2 linked regions of the Coturnix japonica genome follow. The protein of the gene in region 1 interacts with the protein of each later gene in a pairwise test. Links are inferred from orthologs where the notes say so. Each region holds a gene or a part of one and is shown in the gene's direction. Other genes may lie near its edges. The genes, in order: ARNTL2 and CLOCK.

Region 1 (9,530 bases):
ATGATACCTCAATGCAATCCTATGGCACGAAAACTAGACAAGCTTACAGTATTACGGATGGCAGTGCAACACTTAAAATCTTTAAAAGGTAGGTTTTAGGAAACTAATACTTAAAGTCCTTATTCTGTCAGGAGATATACTACATATTTTCTTTGATGGCAGATACATCTAAGGTCATCTGTTCTGTTTACTTGCTGAATTCCATTCTGAGTCTATTTTAATTTAATTTGATATGCTTGTAGTTTCTAGAATTTTGCTTCATTTTGGCTTTTCTTTCTGGTATACTAAACAACACAAAGTGTTGGCTATCTTGTTTGCTAAGGCGATGCCTTGCAATCAGGTCACTCCTTGATTCTGTTTTGAAATCACACAGATCAAGCAGCTTCATCTTCCATTATTTTCTAACCCTCAAATTAAATGTTTTGTGATGTCTCCACTTCATACTTTCTGCAACAGTAATACATGTGGTTTATGAAGTCAGCTGTACTGACTTCACTAGCTGAACTGCTAGTGAGAGGAAAATGTTCTTCATACTTCTGTTTGTTACTGCAGTCTTTGGGTTTGCATCAGCCTTTTGTATTGGAATTTCTTGTTTGTTAGTTGAGTATAAAATGTACATCATTAATAAAGACCTTTCATAAAAACCCAGCAAAATTCTGTAAGGGCATAAAGTTGAGGGCTTGGTCACTTATGAAATACTGAATAATTCTGATGAGTTTTTTGTCTAGTGTGGGTTCAGAAAAAAATGTCTTCTAAGCAATGGGAAACCATGGTAATGCTTACCTGACTACTAACTACTTATCTAGGTAGTTTCACTGGTAGGGGGGCGTAGGTTGGTGCTTCAGCAATGTTACTTTTTTTTTTTAATAGGGTAGTTTACCAGTGTACTTTCGTAAAACAAACAAAAAAAGGCATTAAACTAAAGAAAAGAATTTAAAAAAAGTAAAATTTACCTGTGGTCAAAAGGAACATCATTACTTCAAACTTTAAAAGAATAGTTGATGATGATTGCAGTTACATTTGAGTCTTAAATACTATGAAATATTAAAGAGTGCAAACAAGAAGTGTTATTAAATGCTTATGTTCTCAGTCACCTTACAATGTACTCACAGATTTCAGTGAACAGTCCATTGTAGATATCAGGGTCTAACTAGGATATATTCTTTCATCTCCTTTTACTGCTATGAATAGCTTTGAAGGTTTTCTTTCTCCCATAAGAAACATTATATACAAATACAAATTAAATGTAAGATTTCAGGGTTTTTGGCAATACTATTTTAGAATAATTTAGCCAACTGTAAGTAAAGGCTATGCCTTGCAAAAAATTTGATTAGGGATAAACATCTAATAAGAATCTCCCTTGTCTTAATGAATTATGTGTCTATCTTAACAGTAATGGACTCAGAATAATTTAGGTTGGAGGGAATTTTCAGTCATCACTGACTCTTTAGCAGGGTGATTTCAAACTAAAAGAGGGGAGATTCAGGTTGAATATAAGGAAGAAGTGAGGTGCTGGAACAGGTTGCCCAGAGTGGTGATGGTGATGAATGTTCGTGAGGACATTCAAGGTCAGGCTGAATGGCACTCTGAGCAGCCTGATCGAGCTGTCAATGTCCCTGTTCATTGCAGAGGAGTTGGACTAGATGGTCGTTAAAGGTCCCCTCCAACTCTTCTTAGGATTCTACGAATTCCTAAAAATCTTCTTTTCCGAGAAGCTTGGAATTTTGCATAAATAATGTCACAAATTAGCGGGCTAATCATGGCGTTTAAACATGCATCTTCATCTTGACGATGAAAACAAAAGTCTTCATCTCAAACAGCATTATTTTAACAGTGGATTATGAAAACTCTGTTTCATCCAGTGCAGTTGTTATATGTATCTTCAAAACAAATGCTTTGAGACCATATAAGATAATGTATGAAATTATAGCAAATGCTCACAAAAAAAAAATAAATTAAAATGGCTAACAAGGATTTTAGGGTATTTGCTACAGATGCTGGGACAGTAAATGTAGTGGCAGAAATGTACAATACCTTTTCAATTAAACCACCTGGAGTGATTTGTTTGGATGGCTGAATATATTATAGCATTAGTGAAGCTTTATTCATGCTAGAAGGCAACTGATAACATAGGAATTATTCAGCTTCAGCAAATGTTAAGGATTCTGGAGCAGGTATGTGAAGTGTTTCTAAATAATGCAGATCTCATAATACCATTTCTTTAGTAGTATACTGAAGATATCTGATCAGAAGTTTCCTTGTTTTGTGCTAAATAAAGGCATGAGAAAATCTGGTGGTATGTCCAAATTCAGTATCCACATATGTTTAAGAGTTTTGGTTGGTTCTTTTTTTTTAAAAAAAAAAAAAACAAAAAAAAAACAACAAAAAACCTCTTTAAACTTTTATTCATCTGTTTTTATTGCAAGGAGAATTTACAAAGTAAAGACCAAATAATAAATATAATTTTGTTAAAAATGAATTTTTAATGTATCCTTTGACATCCTATGTATGTCTACAAATAAGCTGTTTTCCAGGTTCCACTAGCTCTTACACAGAAGTCCGGTATAAACCTTCGTTTTTAAAGGATGATGAGCTCAGACAGTTAATCCTCAGGGTAAGTAGAAGGCAACCCTTGGTGAAATTATGTCCTCTTTAAAGCTTGTTGTTAACTTTGGTTTTTAGTTTGAGTGAGCTAACCACCCCTGCATCCCCTACGTTTTTTTCTTCAAGCGAGTGCTTTGATGCACTTAGTTGGTTTGATTTATAACCTCTGTACAGGAAACAAGATTTTTCATGAAGAGATACAGAAGATAGCAGATGGCAACCCTTCAAGGGATAATAAATCTGTATACACTCTGCATTCTTAATGCTTAAACTGTTTTTTAATACTGATACTGAAATCTATATGCAAGCATATATAATAATCTCAGTTACGTATAAATACAGTTGTTTGCTGTGCATTTAAAATCTTAGCAATGTAATTTGGAAAAGATGCAGAAATAATACCTAAAAGAAAATCTTTCTTCTGGTTTTTGCATGCAGTCATACGCCCACACCCCTTTACCCTTTCTCTTTTGCAGCTATTTTCTTTTTCCTTTGCTGCAATAACACAATTTGGCAAGATCTGTAAGATGACTCCATGTTAATCTGTTTTGCAGCTGCTTTCTTTTTCCCAAAGCTATGTTTAGGAAACTCTAGCTGTCTGTATTTGAAGGTCTGATTTGGTCCTTGCAATTTTTTAAATTGCTTTTTGCTGTGACTTTTAACTTATTTAATAAAAAGCATACAAATGTACTTCCTTTTGTTCATCAATATTAATTGTATATTTTAATGGTTAGTTTTTAAAGATGCTGTCTTTATATTTTCAGGCTGCGGATGGATTCCTGTTTGTGGTTGGATGTAACAGAGGAAAAATTCTGTTTGTCTCAGAATCAGTTTGCAAAATACTTAATTATGATCAGGTGGTTATAATTGAGTTTCTTTGTGTTTATCTTACAATTTCTTTTATTTAGAAGTTTTAAAATTTTGTTGGTTTATTGTATTCTTTTGTATAATTTCTTGGAATATTGTTGGTTTAACCTCTTTCAGATTAAGGCTGAATTACCCAGAATGAAAATTTTAAAGTGCAATCAATGTTCATGACCTGAATAATAACTGGATTTCAGTTGATCATACTGTAGAATTGCAAGTCTGAGGGAAAAGGATAATTTGAAATGTCCTAATTTTATCCCTAAGAGATTTCCTTTAAATGATTATTTTCTTTTTTTCTTTTTTTTTTTCTTTTTTTTTTTTAAGCCTGAGGAAAATTAGTTATAAAGCAGCATGCCCAGGTGGGCAAGAAAGCCAATGGCATCCTGGTCTGTATCAGAACTAGTATAGCCATCAGGAGCTGGTTGGTGATCGTCCCCCGTACTCAGCTCTGGTGAGGCCAAACCTTGAGTACTGCGTTCACTTTTGGGCCCCTCACTACAAGAAAGACATTGAGGCCCTGGAGCATGTCCAGAGAAGGGCAAGCTTTGCATTAAGATTAGACAGAGACTGGGTAAATGAAAGGCTGAATGTTTATCCTGCTTTCTTAGAAGCTTTGCAGTACGTCCATTTCTGACTCTAGTTTATTGGAGAGGTGTTCCCCTTTTATGCAGTGATCACATTGTATGCAGCAAGAGTCCAAAATGAATTGAAGTTTCAATCTACAATACAGATTATTAACTCAGCTCCTTTCTACTTTTTGGTAAGGAATCGAAAAGAAAAGAAAAAAAAAAAAAAAAAAAGGTTGCCCACTTCTTTGAGAGTTCCTTCCTGTTTCAAAAGATGATAGTAGTGCTTACTGTAGTGCAGCAGACCAGCTTTGGTCAGCAGAATAAGCAGGTTGAAAGGATCCCAGCTGAGGAGATCCCTGTAAAAATCTTCAACTAAGAAATGCAGAGGTAGAAGCTCTGTGCAGCTTCCAATCAACTCCTGATTAGCAATGCTCTTTTGTCCAACTAAATGAGAGCTCAGAGTCATAGGTAGCATTAATTTCTTTCTATTTCTTCCCTTGGCACACCATCCCCAAAATAATCTGTGCACATAAGCTTCAGGATCAGGAATCATGTTAAGTAAACATACAAAAAAAAAAAAAAACAACCCACCTTTCTTTTTTACAACACTCAATCTTCTTGAATATGCAACTAAATAGTTTTGTTTTTTCAAAGGGAAGTTACAGCTTGTATATTTTGCTACCCTCTTTTGATAAAAATAATGTTAAGTAATGGAGAAATAAATGCAAACTGATATATAAAAGTTCATAGTAACTGTGATGTTTTACAAGGTGTTTTTTGTTTTTCAGTAGTGCAGAATGTTGTTTTTCTGAGGTCTGTAATATGAAGTGTCCTGTCCTAAAACAGTGGGGTTCTTTTTTTCTTTTTTTAAATAGACCAGTTTAATTGGACAAAGTTTGTTTGATTACTTGCATCCAAAAGATGTTGCCAAAGTTAAGGAACAACTTTCATCTTCAGATGTCTCTCCCAGAGAAAAGCTTGTAGATGGCAAAAGTAAGTCATATTTGAATGCACTCAAATTTCTTTATTTTTTTAAGATATGTTAATAAAGTCAGTTCTTATGTAGGAAATAATTGTGTGCATGGATGTACAAGCTTGAAATACAATTTACATGAAAAAACATGTTTCAGTGCTTATCCGCTGCTTATAATTCATTGCAGTTCAACAGAAAAAAAACTTATTGTAGGCAATAAGTGTGATTGAATTTAGCATTGTTGAACATTTACCAAGTTGTAGTCTGACATTCTTCCTTCCAGGCATACTACTTTTTTTTCTAGTATTTTATAGGTCTTGTCATTACAAAAGACCTGATGTAGTTGAACATGGGATAAAATACTTCAGTATCAAGAATCACTGACTTCTCTGAAAATGCTGTCAATCCTAATTTAACCAAATCTATTTACAGTTATTTCTGATATGAAAAGCATTTTGTACTCTGCAGCTAATAACTGTCTTATAGCTGGCTTTTATAGGCATCTTTGCACTTCCTCTATGTACCAAATAGAAGTTGAAAGTTGATAAAGTGTATTTATTAAAGTATGATTCAAAATGTTAAATACAGCTTAAATTCAGTTTTGTAGTTCTTTTTAAATTTGGAGTCTGTGCAGCAGCCACATTTTCTTTGCCTTGTTTAAAGTTATTAGATGTTTTTTCTTTTGTAATTATAAGGACAACATTTAGGTAACTAAACAGTAAGGAGAATATATGAGAAACTGAAGATAAGGCCTTGGGCTCAGCAGTTTTATTCTTGGATTTTTTTTGTTTTCATTAACTACTTTACTAAATTTTTATAAGCTGGCTTGCAAGTACATACAGATTTTCAAGCTGGACCAGCTCGACTGAATTCTGGTGCTCGACGATCCTTCTTCTGTCGGATAAAATGTAGTAGGACCACAGTCAAAGAAGAGAAGGAGTGCTTACCCAATCCAAAGAAGAAAGGTATTCAAACAGTGTAGCTGAAATGGGGGCTTTCTGTCTTGAAATTCAGTATATTTAAGTTCCAAGCCAGTAGTGTGATCCTTGTAATTATCGCTGATTTCACGTAATAGCTGTAGAGAAGTGTAAATATGTACTGCAGGCGTGTTCTGAAAAACAGTCTAATTGTCCTTTTCTCCTCCCTATTCACTCCTGAGAAGAGGAAGGGAGGAAGGAACCTGGGTTGCATTGTTGGTTTAGGAGACACGGTCTGTTCTAGTCAAATTTTTGAAAGCACTGGAGCAGATCAGAAGAGTTAAGATAAATAACATATGTCTTGAAGATAACTATATGAATAAGGCCTGCAAAGTCTGCTGTTTTGGAGGAAAAAAAGCAAGTAAAATCTTTATCTGATTTACGTTTTGTATTGTGTGTACTTACGAATTATACCTTTCCATTTTTGCATTTTTTTAATAGTAAAGTTAATTTATCAGTGTAATATCAGTGTTTCTCCAATGTCTTTAATTTAGTCCGTAGTTTTAATTTAGTTTGGTATACCTGTAGAGCAGTATATTCTTGGCAAGTTTTCTTTCTGATCTTGAAAGAATCTTCCTTCTTTTTTATTTTAATTTAACCTGCTGCTGTTGAGATACATCATAAAAGAACACATTCTAAAATGGGTCTGTCATTGTAAGTCAGAAGAATTCTGTCCATCTCCCTTGATGTGTCAGCTAACTTGGTGAGAGTAGAATTTATCTCTTACAAACGTGCTTTCAGGCAAGCAGCATTCAGAGAGATCGCATTAAAAGTTTGGGAAACTAGCAGTTTCAGAAGGGTAACTCAATTTTTCATTTGACAGGGTTGATTGATATTTTCCATAGTTGAGAGTTAATGCAGTCAAATCTATGTCAATCATACTTTGGTAAAATAAGATTGCTTTGCCAGTTTGGGGGGAAGACAGTAACTGTAGGATACATAATCTCTGTATGTTGAGGTTAGTGGGATATTGTATAAGTAAGTTTCTACCAGTCATAGAAAGGGATTATCGCGTATGCTTAAATTAAATGTTCTTTAATATTTATGTTCCTGTAAAAATTGAGGAATTCAGAAGTCTGAGATAAGTGGAAAGTAATTTGGGTTATTTTGGGGTGCTCTCTTCATGGATTCTTTTAGTAATTGCAGCAAAAATATGTAGAATCATAGTGTTCACTTAAGATAAACATTCTGTAGCTTCCAAATCAATTTATTTAGTTTATTGTGATTTACAACACATAAGGAAACATGTAAAGGAGAAACAGTGGGTTACTAAGCTGTTGTTCTATTGTTGGTTTTGGTTTTTTTTCCCTTTGATACTACACTGTCAATGCCTATAATTTATCTTCCCAAGTCTTACATAGGGTTAGGAGCACTCTCTTCAGGTAAGCCAAAATTAAGTAGTAAAAATTTACTTCAAAAGCACGCTGTGACATTATCCATAGCCTTTTACAGTTGTAGTAAGTATGCATAAAATAGGATTGTTGGTCTTATGGTGAAAGATTTTTTTAATTACATTTTGAACCATAATTGCTTATTTTATTTCTTTTTATTAGATCACAGAAAGTATTGTACCATTCACTGTACTGGATATATGAAGAACTGGCCTCCTAGCGAGGTGGGAGTAGAAGAGGAAAATGATGTAGAAAAGAACAGTAGTAATTTTAACTGTCTTGTTGCAATTGGGAGGTTACACCCTTACATTGTTCCACAAAAGAGTGGAGAGATAAAAGTCAAAGCAACAGAATTTGTAACACGATTTGCCATGGATGGAAAATTTGTTTATGTAGATCAGCGGTAAGTTTTCTTCTTTAACGAAGAGAAAACGACATGACTTGGTTAGGTCTTGTGAACTTTTCTGACTGAAGGGACTGCAATTTTTTTAAGCATGTTAGGATTTCGGGATGCTGAAGAGCTGTGTCATGAATCTGAGTCCTTGGACTTCATTCTGTTAAAAATAAAATATAATTTATGTAGCAAAATAAGTGTATTGTCCTTTAGGAAAGTGTAGGTTCGCAAGATGAAAATGCATCATAGGATACTCTTGTATACTATATATTAACACAATAAAAAATTTTGAGTTAGAGTAGCATAGCTATACATGTGACTTATTTGTTTATAAGTTATGCTGACAGAGAAAAAAAAAATAATAAGCCCTTCACAAAAAAATGACTGCTTATTTATATCTTAGTATTTGGAGCAAATACATTTTATCTCATCTCATATCTAAAAGTGTCGGTTCAAACTTATTCCTTAGAGCAAAATTTAACTATTATTTTTTTCAAATGACTCATTAAGTGGGTTTGGTACTTTGATTGCCTAATTGGAAGAGCTAATAATCATATGTACTTTGTGTTCATTTAAATTGTGCATACAAATGGTTTGCATTTTCAAACACTGTTATTCTGTGTTTGAATTGATACTCTTACACAGTTTTGTTATCCTGTATTATACATTGCAAACAGATCCAAGGTAAACTGCAGTCTATATTTGCTATTATTTTAGAGCTATCCTAACGCTGTATCTTTTCTTAAATGTGAAAGTAAGCATCTATTTTATTAAATATTCATTTTTTGCTTCACCTGATACTGAAGAAAACTAGCTTTGCAATTGTCTGAATCCACCGCTGTTCATCTTTTTATTTCTAACAGTGCAACAGCAATTTTAGGGTATCTGCCACAAGAGCTTCTAGGAACTTCTTGTTACGAGTACTGTCATCAAGACGATCACAATCATCTAGCTGAGAAACATAAAGAAGGTACAAAACGATTGGTTCTCCCAGGCTATATAAAATTAGAAGCTGGGAAATAACGAAGTTAAACAGTGTTAGCATTGTCCCTTTCCATGTATGCATTAAGACATGCCCTCAGAAAGTGTGTAAGAAAACCAGGGGGTTTCTTGTCTGTTGTGACGAATCTTGTCAAGGCAATCTTCGGTTGTCTTGGGTCTTGGTGCAGTGCTGGGCAATAATGCTTCTTTTGACCCCATGCCTCAGTTCTTCTTTATAAGAATAAAGGAGTCCTGAAGAGCAAATGTGCCTAAAAAGACACTGTTGATGAAACTTCACCAAATCAGGGGTCTTCCTGTTAGTTGTCTGCAGAAACTTAGTGCATGGGCTCTCATTTGAGATTAGTAGCATTGTTAAAACAGTAGTTAAATTTCATAGAAGTCTTACCTTGAATATTTTTCTGGCACTTAATTAGAATATCTGATCATCAGAAACATTTTGTTTTTATGGTACCACAAAACAGATATTTTTAGCTCAACTCTGTCCTTGGAAGTATGAATATAGTGATTGTAATTCCTCTTTCTTATCTAGTGTTGCAGAATAAAGAAAAAGTATTCACAAATTCCTACAAATTTAGAGCAAAAGATGGAAGTTTTATTACTTTAAAGAGTCAATGGTTTAGTTTCATGAATCCGTGGACCAAGGAACTGGAGTACATTGTATCAAACAACACTGTAGTATTGTAAGTAATTCATTATATGATTACCCGTGTTAGTTTTTGTCTTAATTACAGAAAAGAACCTCTTTAAGAAGCA
Region 2 (9,971 bases), on another chromosome or scaffold:
GATAGACGGGATGTTTTGCAAATCTTGCTACTGATTTTCATGCATGCATCCATTCGAGGTCCCTCGTTAAGAGCATTAAAGGCGTTGCTTTCAGATAGATAAAATACTGAATGTTTGTGTTGGGGTTTTAGGTTGAATATGAGGGACTGTGATGGGAAGGGGCGAGAATTTTGTCAGCAGTTCTGTCTTTAAGAAACAGTCCACGTGGTTTAGATAAAACAACCCACAAGCCTCCCAGGTTTGGTGTTTGATACTTTAAGATGTTATTCAGACATGCCTTGTTCCTTAATTATTCTGCATTGTATTCTTACATCAAAGAGTTTAACTAACATAGGTAAAATAAAGGATATGAGTAAAGCAGTATTTCTTTTTAAACGCTTGAAAGAGCTCATAAAAGCTCCCTCCTGTAACTAATCTGACTTTTTATGCTCAACAATATAAAAACGGAGCGGTAATTACTTTAATTTGTAGTGTTGGTTAATTATCTTGTTAGCACAGAGTTTCACTGAAATCGTAAATCTTCACAGATTGGCCTTGTTGAGGAAATCGCTGCTTTTAAAAGCTTTGAGCTTTTGCTGCTTTTTGGCCCTAGTCAAGCTCTGGAGGGAATATTAATAAATCAGCAGTGGAAATATCACCCTCTGGGTTCTGAATTCAGTAGTGCTTCAGAATAGGAGGTGTAAGAAGTGCGTCTTTGGTCATGCAGCAGAACCTGAAGTGAAAGATTACGGTGCCTCAGTGTAATGCTGGCAGAGGGGGATACAGCCATTCCTATTGGGAGGATAAAGACATAGAGATTTTGGAAAGGGTCCAGAGGAGGGCCACAAAGATGATCAGGGGGCTGGAGCACCTCCACTATGAGGACAGGCTGAGGGAGCTGGGCTTGTTCAGCCTGGAGAAGAGAAGGCTGCAGAGTGACCTCATTGCAGCCTTTCAATACCTGAAGGGAACTTACTCCCAGGAGGGGAGTAAACTCTTCGAAAGGGCTGACAATGGCAGGACACGGGGAAATGGTTTTAAGTTAAAAGAGGGAAGATTTAGGTTGGATGTTAGAGGGAAGTTCTTCCCTAGGAGAGTGGTTAGGCCCTGGAACAGGCTGCCCAGGGAGGTTGTGGATGCCCCGTCCTTGGAGGTGTTCAAGACCAGGTTGGACGGGGCCCTGGGCAACCTGATCTAGTAAAGGTGTATGTTTGGTGGCCCTGCTAGGCAGGGGGGTTGGAACTACATGATCCTTGAGGTCCCTTCCAACCCGGGTCATTCTGTGATTCTGTGATCTCTCATGCCCTTCTGCGTGGTCTAGCTAGGGAAAGCAGCTCAAAATTGCAGCTGGGTGCTTTATTAGCTCAGGTAATGGGCTTTGAGAGGTAGTTTGAAACTGTTAGGTGTTCCCCAGTTTGTTTCTTAAGGGAGTTAAAGATGTGAAATGCAAAGTGATGGGAGAGGAAGAAGACTCATGGTTAATGCAGCTGCCTGCTGCCCTGAAGGATTGAATTCTCAGCCCATACTGCTGCCACAAAATGCCTTTGTAATGTGAAGGCTGCTTTAATTTGGGCAAACCTCATGCCTGAGTGTTTAATTTTATGGCTTTAATATTCTTTTACCGTAGTTTTAAGTGTATAATATGAATTCTTAAATACAGCTGCTTTCAGAATATGTAATCGTATCTTTCAAAAGTTTTGGTGCTTTGCAGTTCCCATGTACTTAATACTAAGCAGAAGCAACATGACTTTGTTTGTAGAGTCTTTTGTCACTTTACTGTTTGCTCACATTGGACTCTTTCCAGCTGTTACATTTGGTCATTAAAATCACTGAATAAGTTTTCTTACTGTGCAGTGATGTTCTGAGGAGCAATGCTGAGCGTATCGTAAAATCATCTGTAGTAACGTTAATGTTTTATTCAATGCAGATCCATTAGAAGTTGATATATCGTCTAAGATTCAGAACTGGTATTTTTGGTACAATCTTATGAAGCTTAAGGGATATTGTGGGCTTTCCTCATCTTTCCAATGCAGATGTATCCAAGTGAGGCGTAAGAGTGGAGACAAATACTTTGTTCTTGTAGTAGTGTTTAATAATCTCTGTGTGAGAAAGCTTCAAGTTCTAGAGCTAAAACCTGATTATGACAGCCTGCAACCACAGGACAAATGGCGTTGGAGTAATATCCATATGTTAAAACAGAATGAGACAGTTCTTAGTGAAAGATCTTTTTTAAGTGTATTTAAACATAAATACTGAAATATAAACATTGTGAGGCTCTGTAGGTGTAAAAAGATATTTGCAGGTGTTTCTGAGGAGGTTTTGATGCATGTTATTTTGGTATGTGGCCAGATCCAGAAGGAATAGAGAGGAGTCAGAACTGTGATTTAAGGTGGGTTCTGAATATTTAGTCCAGGATGAACTTATAGAATCAGAGAATTACCCAGGTTGGAAAAGACCTTGAAGATCGTCAAGTCCAACCACAGCCTAACCAGTACCCTAACTCTAACAACCCTACACTAAATCATATCCCTGAGCACCACATCCAAACGGCTCTTAAACACAATCAGGGATGACGATTCAACCACATCCCTGGGGAGCCTATTCCAGTACCTAACTACCCTTTCTGTAAAGAAGTTCTTCCTAATATCCAACCTAAATTTGCCGTGGCGCAACTTGAGGCCATTTCTCCTCGTCCTGTCACTTGTCACTAGTGAGAAGAGACCTGCCCCACTCTCACTGTAAGAACCTTTCAGGTACTGGAAGAGGGCAGTAAGGTCTCCCCTCAGCCTCCTTTTCCCCAGACTAAACTTTTAGCCATATGTTGGTTGTGTTTTTACAGCTCTCTGTAAAAGTTATCTGGGCACCTTGAAGCTTTGTTCTCACTCAGCTCCTCCGTGCTCTTGTCAAAACGGAGCATCTTGGCACCTCCGCCTGTTTAGTATTCATAAATTAGGCAATCTGTAAATGAGGCACTCACTTGTCGGAAGGCATGTTCAAACCGCACCTGAGTCACACCTACGGGACTGGACTCGGGCCAATCTGGTGACTCTCCCTTTTGTTCAGAAGCACAAAGGAGGGACGGGGTAGAGGTTTTTTTGATGTCTCCTTCCAAAAAAACCACAAAACTCAGATGCTCCCAGCAACAATGAAAAACCCAAACACTAAAAATCCACTTTTCACTGCATACGAGGCGATTAAAGTTTAATTGGGCAAAAGAAAAACGCTACAGTGCTTGTTTTCTTGGAGCTGGAGGTGAAAGTGATGGGCAGCTGTTTTGTGGCCTCTTCCAAGAGCTCTTCAGTCTTTTCTTCCGTATAGAACTTTAAATGTCATTAGGGAATGGGAACCAGAACTCTTCTCTGTCCCGTTGGGACCCAGAGAGGTCTGCGTGCTGCTGGTTCAGTTCTGCCCAGCCTTTTGCTTCTCAGTGCTTCTCACTTGCTCTGAGGACTGATGCTGGAAGGAGAGAGGTCAGGAGTTGATCCAGCTTCCAGCACAGTGTGGAATCTGCAGTGAGGCCGTGCCTGTGATTTCTCTGTTCTGGCTTATGGTGCTGTAACTGCTGCTGGACAAAAATGAGAACGTTTATTTTCCCCCTCTCTGGTGTGTCTTGATGGGAAAAGCTTAGCTATATACATCAGTATTGTGAGTACTAACCTTACCAGTGTTGTAGACCTTCAGAAACAGGTGATGCTGGAGGCTTAGTTTTGTATTTACTTTACATTTAATGTTTGTGTATCTACTAACTTTTTTAGAAGTATTTGGCTGCCCAGGGAGGTGGTGGAGTCTCCTTCTCAGGAGATATTCAAGACCCACCTGGACGCCTACCTGTGTGACATGGTGCAGGGAGCCTGCTTTGGCAGGGGGGTTGGACTCGATGATCTCTAGAGGTCCCTTCCAACCCCTACAATTCTGTGATTCGATTCTGTGATTGCTGAGCAATGCAGCTGTCCCTGGCTTTGGTGCTTGTTTCTATTACAGCTACTTGAAAGGAGGTTGTAGTGAGTTGGGGGTCAGCCTCTTCTGCCAGGTAACAGTGACAGGATGAGAAGTAACAGCTTTAAGTTGTGCCACGGGGAGGGTTCAGGTTGGATGTTAGAACTGAATTACTAACACCTTGTGGTAGTAGTAGAGCTGTGGGACACTTGGAAGAGGAATGCTTGGGAATGGGCTTGTCATCCAGTGCCGTATCTAACTTTTAGGTGTTTAATACTACGGTACATTATTGTTTATGATGTAATACTGGCATTATAGGTCAAATCTAAAAGATTTTAGCATGCAGCTGCCTAAGTATGTGATCTTTGATCCCATGAGCATCCCATTAACTGCTGACCTGACAGTTATCCAGAAGGTTCCAGCACTGCCTCGTGAGTGCCATCAGGAAGTGGTTGTGAATGTATTGGGGACAGCCCTGGAACAAATGGCCTTGGAAGAAAGAGGAATGATAATGTGCGCATTTCTTCATGTGCCTTAACAAAAATATGAGAAGAAAAGTACAATTTTACATATTAAATGATTATCTTGGAAAATATTTGAGTATGAGGTAGTAAGATGCACGATAAGGAAGAAAGAACACTGTAAAATAAATGGCATTAACATATCTAACCTCACATTTCCACTTCCAAGGATTCTGCTGCTGCTTCTGCAGTAAATAAAACATGTTACTGTTTGTACACTTTGTGAAGTGCATCCAGGATGATAAAAGCTTTTATTGGTGTAGTAAATATTAGTTGCTGGCATTTAAGAGTATTTGGTGTTTTTGGTGGCTGTTTCACTGCATGTTTAATACAACATCAGAGACTGGTGTTGGTCTTTTGAGTAGTGGATGTTACTCACACGCATTCTGACAAAGCTGTTGTGGAAGACTCATGTTCCAGCAGCTCAGCGACTGCCTGCAGGAAGGTGGTTGTGGATTCTGAGAGGGTAAACTCACGCTGCTGTGGGCAGGTGGGAGATGGGGAGTTCTTCCTGTGGAACTTGTTAGAGAAATGCCGGAGGCTCAGGCTGGTTTTCCTTGGTCATCCAGAAGCTTCAGGCTGTGTTATGGGGAGAAATGGTGGTGGTACTTGAGGGGACTTTTCCAGCCCTTAGTCCTCTAGGGGTGTGTTTTGTATTTGAAACATAAATGTGAAGATGTGAGAAATCAGGAAGCGCTTCACCTAAATCTGCTTGGCTCAGGGAACAAGCAACAGGGGAGGTGGCTTTTTGTTTTTCTTTTAGGCCCGATTTCCTACAGAAAGTGATTGATACTGTTTATCCCTTTTTTCCCCTCATTCTTTCCTTACATATTTGCCAATAGCTTTTGTAGTCACAGGACACTTGCAACCGTGTTTGTAGGAGGGATAGAGATCTCAGAGTGTCACATTCCTACAGTTTTGGGGAAGGCAAACAAACTGGGTAGAGAGAAACCTGTCAGTTCCCTTTCTTGAGAGAGAGAGAGACGCCGTGCTGTGAGTTTGGCTCTGATTTGCTTTTCAGCGTGTGCAGGTCTCTGCTGTGCAGGAGGTGACTGGTTGTAGGCTGCCTTGTTACTGTGGGGCTGATGAAAGGCAGAGCTGTAGGAGCTGTGCCCTACTGCCCATTACTGCATATTCTGATCATTAACTGATGAATTATTGTCCTCATCAGGATTAGGTAATAACATAGGTACTGAAGTTCATAGCACTGTGATCAACTTGCAAGATTCTCTTTAGTCTCAGTGGAGTGTTTTGTCCTTTGTGGTGGTGGGTCTACAGGAATTTCTGTCAGGCTTAGTGGAAGTGGGGGGGAAAGTGAAGAAAACTTCACTAGCTTGTTTTTAACTCCTGGACAAGTCTCTGCTCAGTAATACCAGATATTCTTTTCAAACCTCTGTTACGGATAGAATGTTTACAAATTTTGTAGGATGCAGCTTATTACAATATGTCAGTTATGAAGTACTGTAGTAGATGTAAAATAGCTACACGGCTTTGACTTGTGCTTGTTTTAAAGTAGTTTTCGTAGTAACAAGTATTCTGAAGTAAACCAGCTTCTCTTCTGTCTGTGCATAGAAAAGCAAGTAGCAGCATGAATCATGGCTTCCAAGAACTGTCAGAGTAGGAATGCACATTCTCCCCCTATTCACACGCTTTCCTCGCTGTCAATTTTAATGAGGTAATATGATTTAATAAAGCTTTTCTTGCCATCCGCTGCAGCAACATTCATTATATGTAATCAGGCTGCTGTTAGCAAGCGTGTGGCTGAGGGTGAAAGTAGTTTGGAACTTGTGTGCTACTTTCAATGATAGCTTGTTATTTCAGTAACCTTGCTTAAAATACATTTCATTATCCATCAGCAATACATGCAGATTTTCAGGTGAGAATATTTTTGTTGTTTTGAGGGTTTCTTTTCAGATTGTATATGTATATTTATATATATATATATTGCCAGCCTAGCAGTATTAAACATTTTGTGCTGCGCTAAAGGTTTACGTGATGTTTCCCAGGTAAAGACACAGTTTGAGCCTCAAGGAGCTTGTGATCTAAGTGCCACTGATATAGAAAATGAGGAGAATGAGCTAAGAAAAGGGGACAAGGATTCAAATGAATGTTAGTCATAGCAAGCAACTTAAACAAGTTGTAATTGCTATGTACAGAGTAAGGTAGACCAGTGTGTAAAAAGGTGGGAGTATAGAGGCAGAAGGTAGCATAAAGCAAATCCAAATAGTAGAGAGATTTGAAGGAATAGAGGGAAAATATTTTACTGAGCAGGATTTGGAAAGCATAACAACATCAGAAGAGTGGGCTGAATCAAGATGAAGATGAATGGGGATGTGGTAGGAAATGGAGAGAGGAAAAACAGAGGAAACGTTTAAATTATGGCTTTTATGAAGAGGAAAAAAGAGGAAAAAAATAGAAAGAGACAGGGAAAGGGCTGGGGAAATGTGCTGGTTTGATCGGTTTGGCAGGAAAGCTGGGACACACATCCTAGTGCTAAGACTTTCCCTTACCCCCTGCCCCACCCTGACATTCAGCTCTTGATTTCAATAGCTTTCAAAAGGAGTGGCAGATCAACAGCACTGGCCTGAAAACTCAGGCATGTGTGTTCCCCTGTCACTGTCTCTCATTCCACTCAGGTTTTGAATGAGCTGGTGGATTTCTTTATGCATTTCTGCACCATTGAGGTGGGACACCTGGCTTCTAGAAGCACCTTCCTTCTTCTCACATTAGACTTGCCTAATGAAATATACTTTTGCAATCGCCTTCTTCAGTCACTGGCATTCTCTCTCTCTATTGTGACATCTTCCAGCTGCATTGTATGTATCTGGGGACAAGATGGGGACAAATTAGGGATTTTGAAGTTCTTTTTTTTACATATGTCAAAAGGAATTGGTTTACGGTGGAAATAGGTGTATGGATTCCTTAACAGATATACTTTGCCTTATGCAAGTGTTCACTGCATGATTGTCAGCAATGCTGTTGTTACCACATTCTGGCATGCGTATGTATAAAGCTCATCCCTGTTTGTAGGAGTGATGCTTGTTTGTTCACATAAATATTTGGGGTATGGTTTGTTCTACTCAGTGGAACTCACTGACGCTTAAGTTTGTCCTCAGTGAGGGGGAGATGGCTTTTGCTCTTTGCTGTGCTGTGCTATGCTGCGTTCCCTGAGTGTTCTGAGGTGGATCACGCCTACTGCCCAAACCCTCATACGAAGTTAAGATTGTATCGGTGTATATGGGTTCTGGAAATGTGGCTGGTATATCACTGGTGTTATGGAAGAAGGGCATAACTTGCTGCAAAGCAGTTGTAACAATGTTAACATGTAGTAGGCGCTGTTAGAACTGTAACTGTGGTGCTACCCTCAGGCCGTTGTGTTAGGCCGCAGGTTTGGTCTTCAGCCTGAAGGAAGTTCAGACTTTAGAGCTGAGTAAAAGGAGGGATATGTACATCTGAAGTTCTCATGGACACTCTAATTTTGTTGAGTATAGAGTTGGGGTGTGAAGTTGTGAACTCTTTAGGGCTAGAACTAAAGTGACCATAATAGCAGCAGATGAAACGGGGCAGCAATCAAGGGCTCATCCACAAGTTGTTTCAAACAGATTCATTTTCATAGAGCTGTTTTTTTGTTTTGCTTTTCAGAACACTGTGCCAAAAAAGACTTTTGCTCAGATGACATCACATTTGGACTACTAAAGCTATCCACCCACTTTTCAAGGCATAATGGATTTCTAGGTAATTTAAGTAAGTATGTAGATTTTATTGCTGCTAAAACAGTACTGCTTTAAACAGAAGCATCTTTTTTTTTTCAACCTCAGGCAAGGTAGACATTTCCCTTCAATTTGAGATTGAAATTAATGTTGTGTGGGTGGCAGAATATACTTCAAATAAGCTTTTAATAAGCTCTCATCCTGTAGATAGGAGCATAGAATAAAACAGTTGTGCCTGAGAAACCAGAAGGAAAAGAAGCAACCCATGATGGCACCATCCTTAGCAGTGACATATGCTAATGTGGCCCTGCTGCTTTAGGAGCCTGAATTAGTGTCTCTCCCAGGCTATGCTCACAGCTTTTGGGGCCTTCTTTCACAGATGCTCTTGTTAAAGTGGTAATGATACTCCATGAATATACAACTACATACAAAGCAAACAAATGCACCTTAATAGGTTCCAATTAGCAATCCTTCTGTTCATTTGTAATCGTGTTTCTGAGAGGGTTGCATCTCCCCACTGCCTTGATTTGGTGCTCTGTTCTATCCAGCTGAAGATGGGCCAGGAGGTGCAGATTTTCATCTCTGCAAGATTCATTCATGTCTTGTCATGCAGTATGTTTACCAGTTGCTTTGTACATCCATGGTCATGCAAATTGGAGCACACGAGACCAGGCAGATAGTCTGGGGTTCCTTTTGTGAGTGGCTGGGTATTACTGTTAAACTTTTACGGTGACTCTGTCAATTAAAAAGGAAAAAATAAATAAATTAAAAAATCCCTTCAAGAAATACAGATCTACTTAAATGTATCAGACTTTGTGCCTGTCTTTCTCAAACTAGGTAGTTTTGTCTTGCTTGTGATAGGTGAACAGACCTAATCTGCTCCGTGCCTTTGTAATGTCAGGCACAAGCACTGAATAAGGAGATTTCAGAGCTCTCAGTGCTTTTCCTTGGCACACCCCCATTATTGTGTTCATTCTGTTTGTGCAGTTCACCTTCAGTAGGATATTGCCATAATTATTGAGCATTTTTGGTACAAATTTTCTTTATTCTGATTATTTATTGCTATCTTTGTGTTCAGAAAGATTCATAATAAAGTGGACTGTGTGCAATAACATGTGCTGTACAAGGTTAAAATCACAACAGAGGATTTTTTGAGCATCCTGATTACTTATAAAGTAAAGCCCTGAATATTCATAATTGTTGTCCTAATGTTTCTGTGCAAGCAAATGGCTCAGTAGAGATGAAAGTATTTTTAATGCTGATTTGTAGAAATAGGAAGAGAACAGAGATTTGAAAGCTGCTGTTCTCCTTGATGTGCGTGCATGTGTAAATGCGTGCAGTTCTGCCTTTGCTTCTCTGGAAATGTGCCTGTATAACCACTTGTGGAAAAACCCCTTTACTAAGGAGAAAAGCCAAGTCAGACCACTGTCGTTTAGATTTGTTTTTACTTTCCGTACTTCCATAGTGTAAGAAGGAATGGTGGTGCATTGGAGCCCATCCATAGGAGATGGGAAATGTAACATTATAGGGCAGGTAGTTTCTCTCTGTCATAATTATTGGGGTCGCTCTATTTATCACAGTGAAGAAAAATCTCAACATATTAAATCAAAATATGTCTAGTAGGTTCTAGAGAGGTAATGATCTGTAAGTGGTCTGTAGGTACCCAATAGATTTAAAGAGAAAGAGATTCCTTCTGAACAGGCTCAGAGTTTATCCCAGGTTTTACCTTTGGATCAGAGGAGTTGACTGAAATTAAATAAAGAAGTGAAGTTGCTGACCAAAGCAAAGCTATGTCCTGTGCAGGCAGTGGGGAGGGAGAGGAGCT

What was found.
Region 2: the proteins of ARNTL2 (region 1) and CLOCK interact in binary tests that used the Homo sapiens proteins (3 or more experiments, as listed by UniProt). The link is inferred for Coturnix japonica from reciprocal best matches to the Homo sapiens genes BMAL2 and CLOCK.

Annotation. Positions count from the first base shown.
Region 1 is NC_029516.1:62,639,708-62,649,237, forward strand, and holds part of ARNTL2 (aryl hydrocarbon receptor nuclear translocator-like protein 2), read left to right. Parts: coding exon 1-88; intron 89-2,523; coding exon of another isoform or gene 2,524-2,534; coding exon 2,535-2,614; intron 2,615-3,368; coding exon 3,369-3,461; intron 3,462-4,915; coding exon 4,916-5,033; intron 5,034-5,834; coding exon 5,835-5,978; intron 5,979-7,543; coding exon 7,544-7,784; intron 7,785-8,638; coding exon 8,639-8,745; intron 8,746-9,306; coding exon 9,307-9,457; intron 9,458-9,530. UniProt on the Homo sapiens protein: Transcriptional activator which forms a core component of the circadian clock.
Region 2 is NC_029519.1:58,680,163-58,690,133, forward strand, and holds the start of CLOCK (circadian locomoter output cycles protein kaput), read left to right. Parts: upstream 1-3,855; 5' UTR 3,856-8,180; intron 8,181-9,971. UniProt on the Homo sapiens protein: Transcriptional activator which forms a core component of the circadian clock.